2 linked regions of the Cricetulus griseus genome follow. The protein of the gene in region 1 purifies or fractionates together with the protein of each later gene. This does not show direct contact. Links are inferred from orthologs where the notes say so. Each region holds a gene or a part of one and is shown on either strand. Other genes may lie near its edges.

Region 1 (4,551 bases):
AGGCCAGCCTGGTCTACAGAGTGAGTTCCAGGACAGCCAGGGCTATACAGAAAAACTCCATCTCAAGAAACAAACAAACAAAATAATACTGAGGAAAATGGTTCCTATATTTGCTTTGAACTCCATGCTCACATTTCCAGTTACCATGCCAACACCTCTCCTCTTGGCTATCACAATCATCTAAAGTGAAGATAAACCAAAGTAATAAGTAATTGACCAGAAGCAAATTCATTTCCTTCTGGTTCTCGAGCAGTGGTTCGTTCCTACCTCAGGGAGAAAGTGCCTTCCTTTCTCCCTCCCCGTCTTTCCTCTGCTTCCTTTCCAGTCTACCTCGGAAGCATATTGGTACTGCTTTCCAATCGCATCTCCAGTTTGACCACCTCCCATCATGCTCTCTGGGCCTGTGCACAACTTGGGACTGTTGCAAGAGTCTCCTGATCCCTTTCCCCTACTACCCAAGTCAATTCTTTGTGATACCAGCCAAGTAATGGCCAAACATTCTCCACTCTGATTACAACTTGCCCCTACTTAAACCTCTTCAGTGTCCAAGAGCTCTGTGTGAGCAGACCTTTTTTCCTCCCCTACCTAGTAATGTGGACACCAGGTCAGGTTTAATCATTTGCCACTACCCTCCCCACCCACCCACACCCTCACTAAGCCAATATCCTTAAATGTTAGTCAAACATTTATCTTAAAGCAGGCAGACAGAATTTTCTTTTAGAAAAAGTTTCCTTTACCAGTTCACTTCCTCTAGCCAAGGCAGAGTCAACATTCTAAAGATTTTTTTTTTTTTTTTTTTTTTTGAGTTTTGGAGACGGAACCCAGGGCTTCTCACATGTCAGGCAAGCAGCACTTTACCACTGAGCTATCGTCCAGCTCCTGAAATAATCTGGTAGACTTCTCATCAGATTTTTATTCTTTCTTCAGTAATGTAAGAGGGGAGAGGAAAAGGATGGGGAGAAGTGGTGAGGAGCCTGTTAAAGGGATTTTTATTCAAATAACAGAAAAGGCCCTTGTTTCTAAAACTGTAGTTGTGTTATGTACTAGTTCTTGAAATTTTGAAAAATTTCAGCCATCCAGGACTACATATCATATCATATCATATCATATATCATATCTCACATCCAGGCCTCTCACAGAGTGTTACTTTCTTATGGCTATAGTCCTTTTTGGCTGGAGTGGGCCCAGTTTACTTGTCAACCAGAGTTAGCTGACATATTTTCTATTGCATAAAAACTTACATTCTCGTCAACTCCCAGATCACTGGTTTCTCGGTCTGGCTCTGTTCCAACCTCCTTCTCTATCATTATCCTTGTCACACAACAAGCTTGCTCTTTAGGCTTACCCACAACACCAGGTTCACACTGCATGTGCTGCTCACTCTGCCAGGAATCCTCATCCCTCTCTCCTTTCATTAGTCCCCAGAAGTATCTACAACCTTCTGTCCTCAGTCCCATGGTTCATTCCTCAGCTGATACACACTTTTCATATTCTGCTTGGCAGTTCTTGGAATGCTTTCAATCAGTTATTTGTCTGGAGATCATTGCAAACTACTTGACAAATGTAATTTAAAGGTTAACTTTGGCTTACAGTTCCCAGAAATACACAGAGCATCATGGAATGGAAATCATGGCTGTAAGAGCAGGAGGTGGCTGGTCACACTGAATTTGTAGTCAGGAAGCAGAGAGGTATGAATATTCTATGTTGTGCTCAGCTTGGTTTCCATTTTATTCAGTTCAAGACTCGAGCCCATGAGATACTAATGTCCACACACAGGGTGGGTCTTACCACCTCAGTTAACCTTACCTAGATAATCCCTTACAGGAGTGCCCAGAGACTTCTTTCCATGGTGATTCTAAAGCCCATCGAGTTGACAATAAAAATGAACCATTACAGTAAACATGAATAAACATCTATGTGGTAGTTATGTACTTCACCAGATTGCTTACTTTATGAAATTAAAGTTGTATTTATTTATGTACTTTTGCTTTTTTTTTTTTTTTGAGACAGGGTTTCTCTGTGCAACAGCCCTGCATGTTCTGGAACTCACTCTGTAGAACAGGCTGGCCTCAAACACACAAGAGATCCGCCTGACTCTGCCTCCTGAGTGTTGGGATTAAAGGCGTGCACCACCACAACTGGCTATTTATGCACTTGAGTTTCACTTTGTTCTTCAGGCTGGCCTCCAAAATCTGGCAGTTCAAAAGATCCTTTGCCTCTGAGGCTGGAGAGATGGCTCAGAGTTTAAGAGCCCTGGCTGCTCTTCCAGAGGACCCAGGTTCAATCTCTAGCACACACACACAGCAGCTCACAATCATCTCTCAATTCCAGTTCCAAAGGATCCAATTCTCTCTTCTGGCTTCCTTGGGCCCCAAACAGGCACGTGATAAATAGGTATAAATGGAGACAAAACACACATGCACATAAAATAATTTCATAATTTTATTTAAAATAGCTTCTGTCTTAAACCTCCCCAGTTTTGAGGACCATTTAACGTGGCATGGTGGCACGCAACTGTAATCTCGGCAGGGGAAGGAAGACTGATGCTAACTCAAGGTCAACTGCTTTTTGGAGTGAGCTCCAGGTCTGCTATAAGCTGCCTGTCTCAAAACAACAAAAACAAAACGAACATAGTTTTTGGGATTTTTGGTTTGAGCTAGGACCTGCTATTTGTTAAATCATTGTTTACAAAATACCTAAACTGGCAAATGTTCATAAATTATTTCAAGCAACCTGTTTAAACAACCCAGCCCTATCACAGCTGATACAAGAAACAAATGCAAATAATAATCAATAGATGAACAAACAGCAAGAATTTAAAAAATGTATGTTTTGCTTACATGTATGTCTGTACACCATATTCGTACTATGTCTGTGGAGGCCAAAAGAGGGTGTCAAATCTCCTGACACTGGAATTACAGACCTTTGTTAGCTATCTTGTGAGCGCTGGGAATGGAACTCAGGTCCTTCGGAAGAGCAGTTAGTGTTCTTAACCACTAATCCATCATTTCTCTATCCCCTAAAATAGTATTTTCTTGTTTGTTTTTTTAAGACAGGGTTCCTCTATGTAGACTTGGCTAGCTTGAAACTAGACCAGGCTGGTCTCGAACTCAAAGATCCTCCTGCCTCTGCCTCCTGAGTGCTGGAATTGAAGGCATGTACCGCACTGCTGGGCTTCCCTAAAATAAATTTTTATAAGTATTACCTTTTTTTCTGCTTTCTTGTTTGAATTATTAAGAATATATTGCTGCCAGGCAGTGTTGATACACGTCTTCAAAGGACACCGCGCATAGGTGGTACACACAAAATAAATCTTTGATACCTTATGTCTTAAATAAATAAATAGCCCCAGAAGGGGGCGTGGCGAGACGCATGCAATCCTAAGCACTCGGGAGGCACGAGCTTGACGCTAGCCCGTCCGCAGAGTAATGCAGTATCAAATACAAACAAATTCAGAAAAAGGGGAAAAAAAATTCCGTGGTAAATTCAGAGGGCCCTAGATACCGTCAAGAAAGAGATTCCGACCAGGAACGAAAGTGATGAAGTGTTTGTTTCTAGACGGGAAAGCCCCGAGCAGAGTACGTTTTGGTGTGGAGTGAGAAAAGCACCACCAGCAACGGAGATGTCAGAGGAACCGGCGGACGACGCGGCGAAGCGGCTCCCGGCCCCGCGACCCCATATCATGAGCCTCGAGGGGCGACGCAGCGCCAGCCGCGCAGAACAACTCCCAGAGCACGAGGACACGTGCACAGGGAAGAGGCGGTTGAGCTCGTCAGGGTGCTGAGAAAAAGAGGAAGAGCGGGTCCTCACGTGCGCTGCACACTACCGGAATACTCAGCCGCTGACAGCCCGCACCCGTTAGCCCCGCCCCCGGGGCGGGGCTGCGCCGGAAGAGGAACAGCCCGCCGGAAAGGGAGTGGCCACAGGCTCGAAGTCCCTCGCGCCGCTCTCACGTCAGCAGAAGAGGGCGGAAGTGCAGACTACAGGATGCGGTTCCTAGTTGCGTTGCTCCTAAGTGTCGCAGTGGCGAGTAAGACCCCCCAGCCCCCGCCCCATCCCACCCTCTCCCTCAGGTTCTCTCGTCTTCACCTTGGCGGGTTACCACCGGAGCTGGCGTCCTCCTTTCCTGGCCCGACCCTCGGGCCATCTCCACCCTTCTCTCATTCGGCCATCACCGCTGGCATCTTCCAGCGCTGAGAAGCCAAGCCCCCTTCTCTTCTCCCAGCTTTTTCTTCCGAGGGCTTAACTGCTTTTTCTATTTCAGGTGTTACGCCGCATGAATCTAACCCACTCATCACCTCAGGTAACGATAATTCTCCGATTCAGTCTTCTAAAGAAAAACTCTCCAACCAGAGCCCCATGTCTCCTGAGAAGGAAGTGGAGTCTAAGCCGGGAGAGCCCGGCGGGCAGACGGATCAGAAGCAGCAGCCGGGAGAGTCAGGCGGGCAGACGGATCAGAAGCAGCAGCCGGGAGAGCCCGGCGGGCAGACGGGTCAGAAGCAGCAGCCGGGAGAGCCAGGCGGGCAGACCGGTCAGAAGCAGCAGCCGGGA
Region 2 (4,476 bases), on another chromosome or scaffold:
TTTCCTTTTATTCCTCAGGGTTTGTCATGTTTCCTCCTCAATTCCTTCATTCCCTTCGCCACAGTTGTTCCCACTTATCTGACTTTTCCCAAGACTCTGGGCTTTTTCAAGCCTGTTATCTATTGTTCAGTGTTTGCAGAACTCTTCCCTGGTCATTACAGTGTTCAGAGTCTCATTCTTGGAATTGGACTTCTCTTTATGGTGATGACAAGCCTGTCTTCCTTAAGGTCTTGGCAGTAGTGAAGGACATCTGCTGGAACGGGGTGTCTGCTGGAATGGGGTATCTATTGGAATAGGGTGTCTGCTGGAACAGGGTGTCTGCTGAAACGGGGTGACTGCTGGAACAGGGTGTCTGCTTGAGCGGGGTATCTGTTGGAATAGGGTGTCTGTTGGAATAGGGTGTCTAGGGTGTCTGCTGGAATGGGGTATCTGCTGGAATGGGGTATCTATTGGAATTGAGTGGCTCTTCCTCCTCATTTCCAAGAAGTTTGGAGTTCAGGAAAGGCTCAAAATCCTAGTAGCAAAGGCTTGCTTGTGCCTTTGGTTTGTTCAGGCTTGGGTAGACTACCTCTCAGGCAGTCAGTCCCTGCCTCCTGAAGTCTGTGCAGATCTCAGAAATAGTTGCAGTCTCTCAAGTACTGGAAAATCTTTTTCAGACACAGGGACTTACAGAGTCACAAGGGCATGGCCAAGGTTACAGTCACCAGAGAGCTGCTGTCAGAGAACTGGCTGTCTGGTCTATTAAGTGGATTACTTTGCTCAACTTATTCCTTCAAGAAAGCAACCAACAAAAAATAAAAGATTTAAAAACATAAATTGCCATCATTCTCCCCTCATTTTCATGTTTATTTAAAACTACTGCTATTTTGTTCTTAAGAGCAGGTGGGCTCTTCACAAGCAAGTTTCTTGAAATCTACCTTCCCTGTCTTAGTCTTGTTCGAACTTCAGGGTGGTGCAGGCCTGTCATCCCAAGACTCAGGAGTCTGATGCAGGAGGAGTGTTGTGAGCTTGAGGCCAGCTTGGGCTAGATAGTGAGTTCGAGGCCAGTCTGGGTTATAGAAAGAAACCTTGTACTTTAAAAAAAAAAGGAAAAATAAAAAATAAAAACCCAATAACCCAAATAGTAAATGAGACGGACGCCGGGCCGGGGCGACCTCTGCAGACTGGACTAGGACCACTCCAGGTCTTCGGGAACCCGCGTGCAAGCCTTCTGGACCGCCACCTGCCACTCCCCGGGACGCGCGGTGGGCGGGGCTCCGCTGCCATGGAGACGAGGCCCTGCCCACAGCCCCGCCCCTCAGCGTCGATTGGTCGCCCTTTGCTCCCTGACCTCGCCGCCGGGCCGCCGCTTCCTGCCGGGCGCCGAGCGCCGCCCGCCGCCCGCTGCCGCGTCTTCCCGCGCCGCCGCCCCGCGCTCCGCCCGCCGCGCGCTCCGCCCGCGCGCCGCCAGCTGCCCGGCGGCCGCCCAGTGCGAGGATGCGGCGGCGCTCGCGGATGCTGCTGTGCTTCGCGCTGCTTTGGGTGCTGGGCATCGCCTACTACATGTACTCGGGGGGCGGCTCCGCTCTGGCCGCGGGCGCGGGCGGCGCCGGCAGGAAGGTGAGTGCCGCGAGGCCTGTGCGCCGACCCGGGCCTGGGAGGCTCCGTGCACGGAGAGTGGTTCCAGGCTCTGGGCAGGAGCCGCGGGGACCCTGGCCCTCACGCGCGAGTCAAGTTTCCTAAGGGCCCTCAGGCCAGGAGTGCGAGCCCTGGCCCTGCTCCGCTTACCAGGGACTCTGGGTACAGCGACTTGCCTCCTGCACGGGGGGCGCGAGCACCCGAGCCACTTAACGCCCTGCGCAAGGATCTTGGGGACTGTTGTCTCTATGGATCCACTGCGCTCTACTCCCTGTGCCGGGATCGTAGGGACCACACTGCCTGCCCCCTGCTTCGCTCTCCGTCCAGCACGCTCCAGGACCCTCATTCCCAGTTCCGGGATCTTGGTGATCGTTGTCACCCGAGACCCTGTGCTCCCTGAGCCACACTCCACCCGCACTCGAATCCCGACCCTGGACGTCCTGCTCCGGGATCATGGGGATCTCGGTCCCACCAGAACCTCTGTGCTCGAGCGATCAGAGGAGTCATCCCACCCGATGCCCCTCACCCTGCACCCAGAGGGAGTGAGGATGGACTGCGGTCCTGCCAGACCTTTTCTCCTACTTGCTACACTGCCCACCTCGGCTCTTGGCCCCTCACGGCGGCGGGAACTGCCTAGCCTCTTGCACTTGAATTTCCTAACCCCAAGTCCCTGTCCTCCGTGTGTGTTTCTGATGGATTCTGCGCTGAGGGCTGAGTGGTGAGGCTGTGGGGACCACGGGTCGCTTAGAGCTTATAGGTCCTGATTTGGCAGTCATCTCGGCTTGGTACCGGCCAGACACAGAGCGTGAGATCCTTGCCGGTGTGTTGGTTCTGTCTGCTCTGGGCATCAGGGGCTTGTGTTTTACTAGCTAATGAGCTTCAAAGCATAGTTATCTTTTCCAAAGCCCTGTAATCCTCCTTGCTTGATGTTGAATGACACACCACCACCGGAAAAGACGGGATGGAATAGACCATGGCTACGGGAGATAGGGGATAGGGTGTTGAGTAGGAAGGACTGTCACTGAGCCGACTTTACCCCTAGTCAGACCCTGAATGTCAAGGGCACTTGGCTGACTCCCTTTTCCTTCTGGCATCTTCAAGTTATTCCCAGCTGCAGGTGTAGAGGGAGGGACATGGCAGTATGTTATTCGGCTCTTGGAGGATTTTGTGATTTCGTTTTTATTTTTTGCAGTAACGAAAGTGAAACACTGTTTCTCTGTGTTTGGCTTGTGTCAGCTCTGCTTTCTGAATGGTTTGTGTGTTGCAAGCCCTTGTTAGTTTTTAAGTCTAGTACGTGTAGCTGGTGGCAGCAGCCTTTTTTTTTTTTTAAGAATGACAGTGGCTCTGAGCAGGTGTGGTTTGTACCAACTTTGCTTCCCCAGTAGATGCCTCCCCCACCTTGGGAATAGCCTGGCTGCTGACAGTGCTTTTTCCTATGCACACAAAACAAAGCAAACTGACAAAGGTTTAGATCAGCACAGGTATGTAGAAAGGCACCTGTGGCATTCGCCTTTTAGGGGTTATTGCCCTACCTCTAGGGGCTTCAGTGGGCAGACAAAGTGGTCCTCTGGATGCCTCTGAGGCATATGCTTTAGGTTTGAAGAAAGCCCAAGACCTCTTTGTGATCTGATGGAGACCATGCAGAAAAAAAGTGGGGGAAATAAACAGTTATACATGGATTGAGGACCTGGGATTCTGTTTTGTCAGTGAGCCATAAAATGTAATCCTGGCTGGAAATACCGTGGTTTAGTGGTCTGCAGGGGGAGGAAGAGGTATGTAAATGCAGTAGGTTTTGAAATTTCAGTAGTGTTCTCATTAACATAGCAGGGTGGACCCTGATAGAGGCAGAGGATGCCCCAAGCCATGGAGTGTCATCTTGACTCCCTTAGTGGTTTTAAACACTAGAAGGCTCCCCATGTTTAGTTCATCCTCATGATAAGAGAAAATGTGGCTGGGTGGTGGTGGCGGCACCTGCCTTTAATCCCAGTACTCAGGAGGCAGAGGCAGGTGGATCTCTGTGAGTTCGAGATCAGCCTGGTCTACAAGAGCTAGTTCCAGGACAGGCTCCAAAGCCACAGAGAAAAAATGTGTGGTTTCTTTAGCTTGTACAACATGAATGTGAAATATGATAAGGAGAGGAGTTATTGTAGGCTGGCTGCATTTCTTCTTGTGTTTGGTACCATTCATAGCCGAGCTCAAGTTAGTTTCTTCATGCCCTGGTGTTTTCTTTCTCATGGGGCCCCAGGCCTTAGGATTGTGCTTTGGGGATTGTCTGAGGGCACCCTGTTAGGATTTCTGCTGCTTCAGCAGCCAGGCCAGGCTGTGCACTGTGTGCCCTGCCTGCTAAACAACTCCTCTCAGAACTGCTGTTCCCCATTTAGCAAAACCCAGAAACTCAGCTCACCCCAGACTACAGATTGAATGAACTAAGGAGTTGAAAACCAACTGTCAGCATTTGCTGGAAAACTGGGGACTCAATACTGTGATTCCGAAATGCTGAGGCCCCATGTTAAAGCAATTTATGCATAATGCTTAAAATTGCATTTCATTTGTATAGGTATCTCCCCCTGCCATATTTACTCTTTCCTCCCTAAACTGATGATTTGCACTTCAAGAATGCCTTCCCTTTGAGCATCTTAAATGCTTTAAAATTTTAATCATGTTAAGTTTCCCTGGGGCCCTGGTATGCTGGCAGTGGATGGTGCTGTAGAAGAGAGGAGAGGATTTCTGTTGAAAGGAAGCTGCCTCTGGCTGAAGTGTAGTGACAGGAAGGGTTCCCAGTAGGAGAGCAGTGAGCTCAGCTGAGACTTCAGGGTCCCTTCACGGACTGCCTAAGTCCTTGAGGTGCCTAGCACTCTT

What was found.
Region 2: the proteins of Tgoln2 (region 1) and Galnt2 purify together in Homo sapiens (affinity purification with mass spectrometry; 3 studies listed by BioGRID and IntAct, counting the BioPlex papers as one, with this or other methods). This does not show direct contact. The link is inferred for Cricetulus griseus from reciprocal best matches to the Homo sapiens genes TGOLN2 and GALNT2.

Annotation. Positions count from the first base shown.
Region 1 is NC_048601.1:64,348,605-64,353,155, reverse strand, and holds the start of Tgoln2 (trans-Golgi network integral membrane protein 2), read left to right. Parts: upstream 1-1,629; coding exon 1,630-1,635; intron 1,636-3,558; coding exon 3,559-4,030; intron 4,031-4,264; coding exon 4,265-4,551. UniProt on the Homo sapiens protein: May be involved in regulating membrane traffic to and from trans-Golgi network.
Region 2 is NC_048596.1:200,924,711-200,929,186, forward strand, and holds the start of Galnt2 (polypeptide N-acetylgalactosaminyltransferase 2), read left to right. Parts: upstream 1-1,418; 5' UTR 1,419-1,476; coding exon 1,477-1,599; intron 1,600-4,476. UniProt on the Homo sapiens protein: Catalyzes the initial reaction in O-linked oligosaccharide biosynthesis, the transfer of an N-acetyl-D-galactosamine residue to a serine or threonine residue on the protein receptor.